3 linked regions of the Macaca mulatta genome follow. The protein of the gene in region 1 binds, or shares a complex with, the protein of each later gene. Links are inferred from orthologs where the notes say so. Each region holds a gene or a part of one and is shown in the gene's direction. Other genes may lie near its edges. The genes, in order: POLR1H, POLR1E and POLR1F.

Region 1 (3,749 bases):
CCCTTCAGGGAAAGTTTCTACTTCGAATATAAGTTACAGAGTAACGAAAATAGCAAGATTTCCGAAAGAAACTTATTCCCATGTTTTATAAAAGATCAGGGAAATGTCAGCTGTCCACTTAATGGATGACGAATAATGAATTAAGAGTTCGATAAGCGGCAGGCACAACTAAAAGCCAAACTCGACCTAAGTCTTATGAAATCCTACTTAATGAGCTTCTTGACTACTGCTAGCCTCACTTATCTGGCAGGAGTCGAAGGAGGGGAAGCCCCAAGCTCTTCTGTTCTACCACCTCCAAAGTCCTGAGCCCCTTCTCAAGTGTCCCACTTCATCCCTGCTTCCTTTCGTCCCGTGGGACTAAGGATTCCTCTGGCCTTCACCCTCACCACTTGCTGTCCCTCAAGAAGCCGACTCACCCCTTTCCAAGCGCGGTGAACCGTCCGCAAAGCACACAGGCCGGCTGCGCTCTGCAGAAAGCCCACGCTCGCCAGCGGGACCCAAGGAACGCTAGAACTATACATGCCAGAACACTTAGCTTTGTTTTTAACTACTGTGCAGCCGCAAAAGGGAAATACCAGCTCAGGACCCAGGGGAGTTGTAGTTCTCTAATCCAAAGAAGTCATTATTCAGCAAAGTACGGTTTTCAGGAGGATATTCCCCCGCGATTGGGTTCCCGTAGGATGTGAAACAGAGAATAAATATCCCAGGATTCGGTGCTGGTGGGAAAATTTGCTGGAAGCGCAGCATTGGTTACCAATTTTGTGCTCAACGTCTCAGTACCAGCCTGAAAGTTGAGCCCCAACCTCCCTTAGAAGTGGTGACTCTCCATCTCTAAGGCTTCCGAGACACGGTACGCAATTAATTATGACGTCACAGCCAATCGTCAGCGTGAAAGCGTGACGCTCTAGCCGGCTCTAGCTCGCTGCCCCGCCGCGGGCGCAGAGCTGGCGCTCTAGCCCACGGAGTTGGCCAGCTCCTCTCGCCGGCCCCAGGAAAGGGTTCCAAGTCCTTTTAGTACCCGACGCTGTCTGGGAGTTCCGGGCGTTTCGGCTCCTTGGTCGCAGAGGCAGGAGGCGTGCGTGGGAGGAGGACTCGGGTTATATACTCCTACGTCCTGGGACGGAATAGTTACCACCTCTGGGGCAGGAACTCTTCTCTCTTTTGTTAATAAACTTCTAACTCCCTCCTCAGACCCGACTGCATGTCTGTCATGGACCTCGCCGGTACTTGCTCCAGCTTTCAGTCGGACTTGGATTTCTGTTCAGATTGCGGCTCGGTCCTGCCTCTGCCCGGGGCTCAGGATACGGTCACCTGTACTCGCTGTGGCTTCAACATCAACGTTCGGGGTGAGAGGCTTGTACACAGGGGTCCTGGCGGAGGGCCCAGGATCGGAAGCTTGGGGAACTCAAGATCGGTTGGGTTGAGAAGGGGATCCTAGAGCAGGACATCAGGCAGTTGTACATTTGGTTCAGCGATGAAAACTGAGGGAAAGGATATAGGGCCTCCTGGCCTAACCAGCCAGGGGAGAGGGGAAGTTTCCGGTGTCAGCTCCCTCAGGTTGTCTCCATAACCCGTCTTACTTGCCTGTGCAGACTTTGAGGGGAAGGTTGTGAAGACTTCAGTTGTGTTCCACCAACTGGGGACAGCCATGCCTATGTCGGTGGAGGAAGGGCCTGAGTGCCAGGGACCTGTGGTAAGTTAATGAGATCAAGAACTGGCTCCATAAGGTGGGTAGGAAAGAAATGGAGGAGTGATTGCAGAGATCTGGAGAGTTTTGTGCCCAATTCCAAGTGGGAAAAGATGTAAAGCATCGATGTTTGAGAGGCGTGATCGCCTGATTCCTGTGGGAAGTAAGGGTATGATATGACCTGGCCTCCATAACCCACCAGTTTCTTCCCAGGTTGACAGGCGCTGCCCTCGATGTGGTCATGAAGGAATGGCATACCACACCAGACAGATGCGTTCAGCCGATGAAGGGCAAACTGTCTTCTACACCTGTACCAACTGCAAGTGGGTATCCTTTCCCCTCCCTTTGCTCAGTCTGTTTGCTAACTAATAAACAAATCCAGTGATTTATTTTTTTGTACTAAACGGCTGTGTCCTTTCGTCCCATCCCTTATTTCTGTGCAGTTCTGGTAAGAGGGAGATTTGTAGTTTTTATTTTTTTAAATTACACTTTTTTAACCCTTTTTGTAACCAGTGAAATAAACCTTTTAGGTTTTTTTTTTTTTTTACGGACAGGGTGTTGCTCTGTCACCTAGCCTGGAGTGCAGTGAGGCAATCTTGGCTCACTGCAACCTCCGCCTCCTGGGCTCAGGTAATCCTCCCACCTCAGCCTCCAAAATAGCTTTGGGACCACAGGCACGTGCCACCACACCTGGCTTTTTGTTTTGTTTTGTTTTTTGTATTTTTAGTAGAGATAGGGTTTCTCTCTGTTTCCCAGGCTGGTCTTGAACTCCTGAGCTCAATCAACCCACCTCAGCATCCCAAAGTGCTGGGGATTACAGGCATGAGCCACCCTGCCTGACCTTCTTTTAGGATATTTAAAAGGAAATGAATAAAAAAAACCAGAAGAAGCAAGTATTGTTTAGTGGTCAGCGTCTTATACTGCAGTCTTCAACCGCAGTCAAGGTAGCTTTACTTTGGAGAGAATTAGTCACACATGATTTAGAGAACATGGGCTTTCTGAATGCTTTTAAGACCTCATCTTTGTCTTTGGTGTTCTGCAGTCACTATAGTATATCAAAATGTGATTTTCTTTTATTCTGTTTGGGATTTGTTGGACTTTCTGAAACTGAGAGTGCATTGTTGTTTTTTGTTTTTTTTTTTGAAACGGAGTCTCGCTCTGTCTCCCAGGCTGGAGTGCAGTGGTGTGTTCTCCGCTCACTGCAAGCTCCGCCTCCCGGGTTCATGCCATTCTCCTGCCTCAGCCTCCTGAATAGCTGGGACTACAGGTGCCCGCCACCACGCCCGGCTAATTTTTTGTGTTTTTTAGTAGAGACAAGATTTCACTGTGTTAGCCAGGATGATCTCGATCTCCTGACCTTGTGATCCACCCGCCTCGGCCTCCCCAAGTGCTGGGATTACAGGTGTGAGCCACTGCGCCTGGCCTAGAGTGGATTTTTTTTTTCATCAACCTTGGAAAATTATCAGCCATCATCTCTTTTAATATTCTCTTTCCCCCATGTTCTCAGTCCTCACATTCTGGACCTCTAATTAGTTACTAGAATGAGATTTCTCTCTTCTGTCCTCCATTTCTCTCGCCTTCTTTTCATATTTTCAATCGCTTTTCTCTTTATGCCACCTTCTGAGTAATTTCTTCAGGTTCCTCTTCCATGTCACTAATTCTGTCTTCAGTTTATTTCAAGTATTATTATTTTTTACTATTGTTATTATTTTGAGTTCTATTTAATTACTTTTCAAATCTCAATTTTTAAATAATTCTCAGTTCCTTAATAATATTTTAAATTGTTCCTTTTACTAGTCTTTATATATTTAAAATATTAAATGTGGTTATTATATTCTATGTCTCATAATTCTGATATCCGTGGATTTTGTGTGTCTGATGCTGCTGTCTGTTTCTGCTGTCTCTCTCATAGTGCTTTTTTCTTTGTTTTGTAATTTTTGACAATAAATTTGAGTTTTTTAGAACTTGAACTGTAGGAATTCTCTGAGGCCTTGGGTAAGTGTTGTATTCTCAGCATTTGTGTTTCTTTTCTAGGTGCCTTGAAGCACTATCAAGCTGGAAT
Region 2 (3,649 bases), on another chromosome or scaffold:
CCAGAGCTAACATTTGCTACTTCTATTCTGCATTAGGCAAGGTAGAATATCCAGGTCAAATAAAATGAAAATTTTAAGGGACTGTTAGAACAAACATCAGCCGTGTGTGTGTGTGTGTGTGTGTGTGTGTGTGTGTGTGGAGAGAGCGCTTATGAGTTACACATATGTATCTTGAAAGCTTGTGGCAGGTTTGTGTTGTGTCAGCTTATTTCTAACAGGAGAGCGTCAATCTGATGGTAACCCAGTGTCACCTGTAGCCAGGACGCTTTGTGGGTCACACCCTCATACCTACCCAGAGTTGGAAACCCAGGAGATGTCTGTGGTTTTAGGCACAAGGCATATTTAGTTGTTACTGTGATTGGGCATCCAATAGTCTATACTCCTATTTTTTAGTATAGTCATGTGTCACTTAATGATGGGGATATGTTCTGAGAAATGTATCCTTAGGCAATTTTGTCATTGTACAAACATCACAGAGTATATTTGCATAAACCTAGATGGTATAGCCTACTACACACCTAGGCTATATGCTATAAGCTGCTGTTCCTAGGCTGCAAACCTATACAGCATGTTACTATGCTGAATATTATAGGCAATTGTAACACAATGGCATTTGTGTATCTAAATGTATCTAAACAGAAAAGGAATAGTAAAACTATGATATTATAATCTTTTGGGACCGGCTGGGCATGTTGGCTCATGCCTATATCTCAGCACTTTGAGAGGCCAAGGTGAGAGGATCACTTCAGGGCAGGAGTTTGAGACCAGCCTGGGCAACATACCAAGACACTGTCTCTACAAAAAAATAAAAATATTAGCTGGGGTGATGCACGCCTGTACTCCCAGCTATTTGGGAGGCTGAGGCAGGAGGAGTGTTTGAGCCTAGGAGTTCAAGGTTACAGTGAGCTATGAATGCACCACTGCCTCAGTGACAGCAAGACCCTGTGTCAAACAAAATCTTACAGGACCATTGTCACATATGTGGCCTGTCATTCACCAAAAGAACGTAATGTGGGACATGACTGTATTTGCTTAGTCATGCTTTTTTTTTTTTTTGAGACAGGATCTCGCTCTGTCACCCAGGCTGGGGTGCAGACCTATGATCTTGACTCAGTACAACCTCCATCTCCTGGGTTCAAGCAGTTCTGCCTCAGCCTCCTGAGTAGCTGGGATTACAGGCGGGCGTCACCATGCCCAGCTAATTTTTGTGTTTTTAGTAGAGACGGGGTTTTTCCATGTTGGCCAGGCTGGTCTTGAACTCCTGACCTCAGGTGATCCACCCTCCTTGGGCTCCCACAGTGCTGGCTGGGATTACAGGTGTGAGCTACCGCACTCAGCTTGTATTTGCTTAGTTCTTTTTTTTTTTTAGATGGCGTCTCGCTCTGTCACCCAGGCTGGAATACAGTGGCTCGATCTTGGCTCCCTGCATCCTCCACCTCCTGGGTTCAAGGGATTCTCCTGCCTCAGCCTCCCAAGTAGCTGGGGTTATAGGTGCCCGCCACCACACCTGGCTAATTTTTGTGTTTTTAGTAGAGACAGGGTTTCACCATGTTGGTCAGGCTGGTCTTGAACTCCTAACCTCATGATCTGCCCGCCTTGGCCTCCCAAAGTGCTGGGATTACAGGCGTGAGCCACCATGCCCAGCCAGTTTTTTTTTGTTTTGTTTCGTTTTGTTTTGTTTTGAGATGGAGTCTCACTCTATCGCCCAGGCTAGAGTGCAGTGGCGCAATCTCGTCTCACTGCAACCTCTGCCTCCCAGGTTCAAGCTGTTGTTCTGCCTCAGCCTCCTGAGTAGCTGGGATTACACCATACTCAGCTAATTTTTGTATTTTTAGTGGAGGTGGGGTTTCACTGTGTTGGCCAGGCTGGTCTTGAACTCCTGACCTCAGGTGTTCTGCCTGCCTCGGTCTCCCAAAGTGTTGGGATTACAGGTGTGAGCCACTGCATCTGGTCACTTAGTTCTTATTTTCACATTCCAATTCCAGCTTTCCCTGTCTCTCCCTGAGCTTTCAGCACAATTTTTGTTTTCTAAGGTCATGTTAAATCTACGTCCTTAGGCCTCCGGCTGTGTTTTCTTGTCACTGCCCCATCACCAGCATCTCTTGTGCAGGGCAAGCTGCAGGCTGAAGCACACCAAGCATGTTTTCATTTCGATGTGGCCGTTCTGCTTTGTGGGCCCTGCTTCTCTTACCACCTGGTTCTGGTCATTACAGTGGCCCAGCTCCTGGCTTTTCTCTCAACTCATGGTGGAGGTGTGGCCTGAGGGTTTTGAGAGAAAATGATCAAACTCAACTTTGTGTTGTAGGTGCCCTGGGACCTGGAGTTCCCCACATCATCAACACCAAACTGCTGAAGCACTTTACCTGTTTGACGTACAACAATGGCAGGTCAGGGGGTGGTTTCTGGGATTTTTCCTGTGCAGGAGAAAGTGAGTGAGGGTTGGGAGTGAGCAGCAGGGGCTTGGACTCAATTCCACGTCCACAGAGATGCAGTGCTGAAGAGACTGCTGCCATTTGGAAGGCTCCTGGGGCCCCAGTAAGTTTAGCAAACGCTAAATATGACATACTCTGTCCTTTTTGGAAAAGTATTACTTTTGGGGAATCTTAGAAGCTCTGGGAAGTCCTCCAATAAAGACTTGTTTTACTTCACATACTTTTGAAGAGCCCTTCCTGATGTCCCACAGAGCTGGTGTTTGCGGAAAGGCAGTGTTGCAGAAAAGGGCAGCCCAACTCGGTGACTCAGGAAAGACCCGCAAGCGTTGCCCCGGGCTTCCTTCCTGCCATTTGCCTGGAGTATGTTTTCTGCTCTAGAGTGTGCTTGGAAGAATCAGCACAGCTGATTTCGGGATGATTGTTTTCCCAGCAGCCCTGCTGAGCAGGCGGGGACAGACTCAGCGCTAGCGGTGTCCAGGGAGAGTGTAGGCCCAGCCTTCTCTGTCTGCCTCAGAGGGAAACATGGACTGGCCCACTGCTCCACTGTGCGTGAGGCCCAGGAACCTTGGAAGGGCAAAGAAGTCACCCACATTCCTTTTCCTTTCCTGAAATTGGGAAGACATTCAGTGCATATGAGAATAGGGTTGAATGTTCTTATTTTGCTTTTGGAGAAATTGAGAGTTTAATTTTGTTTCTCCTTTATTGCCACTGATTTTCTAGATTACGGAACTTAATTTCGGATTCTATGAAGGCGAAGATTACTGCATATGTGATCATACTTGCCTTGCACATACGTGACTTCCAAATTGACCTGACAATGTTACAGGGGGACTTGAAGCTCAATGAGAAAAGGTGAGCACAACAGAATAAAGAGCTCCCTGCAGGGTGCCTTGATGTCTTATTTCTGGTACCACTGGAAAGCATGAGGCACCACCAAGGGAACTGAGGATGTTTAAATGTGGGAACAACTTGGAACTAGAGGACTATTTTCAGTGAATGAATCATTGACTGAATGAGTAACTAGACATTACTGAGTGCCTTCTCTGTGCTAGGCACGGTCTTAAATTATGTCATTATCTCACTGATTTCCCTAGAAAACAATTGAAAAATCAGGCTCAGAAAAGTACATGACTTTCTCAAGGTTACACAACCAAGAGGGGAGTAGTTGGCCTTGAGACCTGAGCCTTTCCATAACATTCTGTTCCTGAATAACCAGG
Region 3 (3,749 bases), on another chromosome or scaffold:
GTAGTGAATAATACAGATATTATGGTCCCCACTTTAGTGAGTGTAGGAATCTATTGACGGAACAGGCAAGCAAATGGCAGTTAATATAAAATTAACATTTAAAAAACATGCATGGGTAACTACCTAATCCTTATAGAGAAAGAGGTGTGGGGTGGTTGAAAACTCTTTGCAAAGGGACAGAATGTAAAATCTAAGCTAAAAATTGATACGTGAGGAGAATTTACCCTTGTGAAAATATTATATTTCCCGGTAGAAGGAACAGCATAAGACTGCAGAAAGAGTGACCTGAAAGTGGATCAAGGGGCATAATATTAGGGTGGGGAGTGTGACAAATGAAGCTGAAGAGAGAGGCTGCGTGCCCACACAGATCACAAAATGGCCTTGTATAAGCATTTTTCAGGAGTTTGTGTTGTCCTAGAGAAAGTGGGGTGCCTATGTAGGGCTTAAACAGGGCACAACACAATCATATGTGTTTCAGGGAAGATCTGGCTGCCCCAGGGCGTCCTCCTGACCATTGAGCTAGGCTTCCACAGGCAGGGAGTCCTGTGGTTTTGTCGGCAGGGAAAGAGAATAGTGTCCAAACAGAATGATATATCCACTTTGGGCAATACAGGCCTTCAGGCTGATTTAATATTTGGGAAAACAAAAGAGGATCCGAGGCTGACAGGTTGGCTGTGGTATAATTCCCTGATTTAGCATGTGCATAATGAGGAGAGAAGTGGGACAGGAGAGAACTAGTAGGTTCGTTTTAAGATATGTTGCATTAGAGTTATCAGGCCTGCTTCTTAGGATTTCGTGTCCTGCATAAAATACACTCCATAAATATTTTGATTTTTTATTGTACAGTCCAAGCTTGTAAAATTCTACCAAACCACCTTACTACTGGAAATGATCAAAGTGAAAACCCCCCTTTTTAAGCTGCCTACTTAATCCAATAAGCTTCTGTACGAAAACACATATTTGCCTGCCCTTAAAAGAGCAGACAGTTGACTTTCCTGCATGCTCAATGCATATCCCAGGCTCTAAGCTCCCGTCCTCGAAGCGCGAAAATACGGTTCCCCCTGCCGGCCAGAGCGGCGTAATACAGCGTAAGGAGGAGAAATTCCTAGGGGCGTGGTAGTTGGTGGATGACGTAAAAAGAGCGTCGGGGACAGGCGATTGTGCTTGCGTCAACGGCGCGCGCCGTGGGAACCTTGACAAGCGGCATGGCTGCGGGTTGTTCAGAGGTGCCGCGGCCAACGGCGGCTTCTGATGGGTCTCTGGTAGGGCAGGCTGGCGTCCTGCCTTGCCTAGAGTTGCCGACTTATGCCGCTGCTTGTGCGCTGGTGAACAGTCGCTACTCATGCCTGGTGGCTGGGCCGCACCAAAGGCACATCGCGCTGTCTCCCCGCTACCTGAACAGGAAACGCACTGGCATTCGAGAACAGCTTGATGCGGAGCTCCTTCGCTATTCTGAGAGGTACCGATCTCTTTGCCTGTTCCTTCTTTTGTGCACGGGAAGTAGCAGCAGGTAGATATGCTGACAACGCAGCAGAAAGGGGGCAAATAGTAAAGGTCGCATTGCCCCCCCAGAGCTTAGCCCCGTGGAATTCTAGAGTCGCGATCCGCCCCTCAAGGCCAGTACCACTGTGGTGAAGATCTTTATAGGGTCCCTTTCATAGATAGAGAAGAAAACTTAAAGATGAAGTTCAGGTGTCGGCGGAAGGAGTGGAGATTCTCGCTCCAGAATCCTGGTGTAGGGGTAGGAACAGACCAGGGGTCTGGAGACCTAGTAGGCCCAGTTCTGTTTGGCATTCAACGTTTCATTTATCCCGTTCCGGATGATGTTTTCTCATTTGACGATAAAAATTTGGTTTGCAGTGCTTAAGTAGATTCTCATTCCATCGAAGATTGCACATGAAGCATTAGTACAACCGTTCTACCTGTAAAACGTGAAGCACGTTTTTTTCTTACTGTATTTCAATCTGGTAATTTCCCCATTTTCTCTTCTTTTGGACCTGAGTTGTTTTTAAGACGATTTATTCAATCGAACTAATGAGCCTGTTGCTTTTGGGAGAGAAAAAAACAAAAGGTATGCATTTATATTACGGTATTCAGAAGTGCCTTGAAAACAGAATTACAGAGGTGTGTGGCGGGGGGCGCGGGCATGTGCTTCAGTATTCCTCTGGACTATACTTTGGTTCAAAAGCGAGGTTCTAATACTAGAGTGAATGGATTCTTTAGGGATTCATGACTGCCCTTCAGGAATTCTTATGTGAAGTTCCTTGGGCACTGTATCGGAAGCTTTTATCACTTTCTTAAGGGATCCTTGACCTCCACACACAGGTTAATAATCAAGCATCTCCAGAATATACAGCTTCTTCCAAGCACCAATATACACTTCTCGTATGTTTATATTATATACCGAACACTTGAGATACAAAAACAAACAAAAAATGAAATCCCTCTTTCAAGGAGCTTTAAGCTGTAGTAGAGATACAAATACAAGCCAATAAATAGTAAGGTGTTAAAATTTGACAGAAATCTAACAAGATAAGGAGTGTTGAATTGGGATCTTGGGACCTCTGAGAACAACTTGAGTGAAGACGGTACTTTCCCATGGTAGCATTCCAGGCAAAGAGTGGCATAAACAAACGGATACTGGATGTGAACCGGTATGCTTTGCCCAGAGAACCGTATCTATTATATAAGTAGAATAAGGTTTATGTCAGGGGAAAGGCATTGGATGCCATTGGAGACGAGGGCAGGGGTGACTCAGAGAGGATGGCCATTTTGCTTTTCCCTTCCTGTCATTGCCAGTTTTTGTTCTTTTGGGGGTAAGGTGGGGTTGTTGTTGTTTTTCCTTTTGTGTTTCTGTTTTCATAGGCAGGGTTAGTGCTTCATCCTCTCAGTACCCTTTAACTCTGAGACTTGGTACACTTTTGAGAACGCAGTACTTATCTGCAGTTCCTGGCATATCAGATTTGCAGTTTAAGAAACAGTACTTGTTAGCCTTACTTAATGGTTAGCTACCAAATAGGATGAGAAAGTGGACAAGGAGAGGAATTAAGATCATGTTATAATTGTTCAAGAGAAAATGATTAGAGAGGATGGATTTGAGAGATTAAAGGATATACAAAGTAGTCATAACATCTGGAAACACAAGCAACCATCCTGTTTTCTGTAACCGTTTTGTATTGCCTGCATTTGACAGGCTAGGGCGGGAAATAACGAAATCTCGCGGAGTGACTCTGAACAGATCTGGCCACCACTCCTTTCATATTACTTGGATATGCTGAAGACCCCTGGTGAAATTATGCACCAGGTGAAAATCAGGCACCACACTTTGAACTATGCATTACTAATGAGGGACAAAACATTGAACATACAGTATTAAAGAACTAAAGTGAGGCTACCATCTTGCCCTGATACCTATTTAGGATGGTATCTGAAAAACAAAAGTGAAGAAGAAAAAGTATATAGTGTTGGGTGCCTGTGTTCACATATCTGATGACTCTTAACAAAATCCCCCTTGAATTTATATATTGCTAAATTCCTGAACAATTTAATATAGATTAAAAATATGCAAAGATGGCTGTGTGTTGATGTTAAGAGTTAAATTAGGTTCCTAGCTATTTGTAAACAGATTTGTCCTTTTATTCAAAAGTCAGAGCTAAGGATATTTCCTCATTGTACCGACTGTCCTGTACATGACAGACTCTTTTCTGCCCTGGCTTGTGCAAAGTTTGTGATAACCATGATTAGTATCA

Evidence for each region.
Region 2: POLR1H (region 1) and POLR1E share a complex: the UniProt entries of both Homo sapiens proteins name them as parts of the RNA polymerase I (Pol I) complex. The link is inferred for Macaca mulatta from reciprocal best matches to the Homo sapiens genes POLR1H and POLR1E.
Region 3: POLR1H (region 1) and POLR1F share a complex: the UniProt entries of both Homo sapiens proteins name them as parts of the RNA polymerase I (Pol I) complex. The link is inferred for Macaca mulatta from reciprocal best matches to the Homo sapiens genes POLR1H and POLR1F.

The regions. Positions count from the first base shown.
Region 1 is NC_133409.1:152,983,793-152,987,541, reverse strand, and holds the start of POLR1H (DNA-directed RNA polymerase I subunit RPA12), read left to right. Parts: upstream 1-1,201; coding exon 1,202-1,346; intron 1,347-1,592; coding exon 1,593-1,693; intron 1,694-1,900; coding exon 1,901-2,010; intron 2,011-3,749. UniProt on the Homo sapiens protein: Core component of RNA polymerase I (Pol I), a DNA-dependent RNA polymerase which synthesizes ribosomal RNA precursors using the four ribonucleoside triphosphates as substrates. Can mediate Pol I proofreading of the nascent RNA transcript.
Region 2 is NC_133420.1:62,108,611-62,112,259, reverse strand, and holds part of POLR1E (DNA-directed RNA polymerase I subunit RPA49), read left to right. Parts: intron 1-2,305; coding exon 2,306-2,387; intron 2,388-3,152; coding exon 3,153-3,284; intron 3,285-3,649. UniProt on the Homo sapiens protein: Component of RNA polymerase I (Pol I), a DNA-dependent RNA polymerase which synthesizes ribosomal RNA precursors using the four ribonucleoside triphosphates as substrates.
Region 3 is NC_133408.1:108,567,320-108,571,068, forward strand, and holds the start of POLR1F (DNA-directed RNA polymerase I subunit RPA43), read left to right. Parts: upstream 1-1,184; 5' UTR 1,185-1,205; coding exon 1,206-1,459; intron 1,460-3,749. UniProt on the Homo sapiens protein: Component of RNA polymerase I (Pol I), a DNA-dependent RNA polymerase which synthesizes ribosomal RNA precursors using the four ribonucleoside triphosphates as substrates.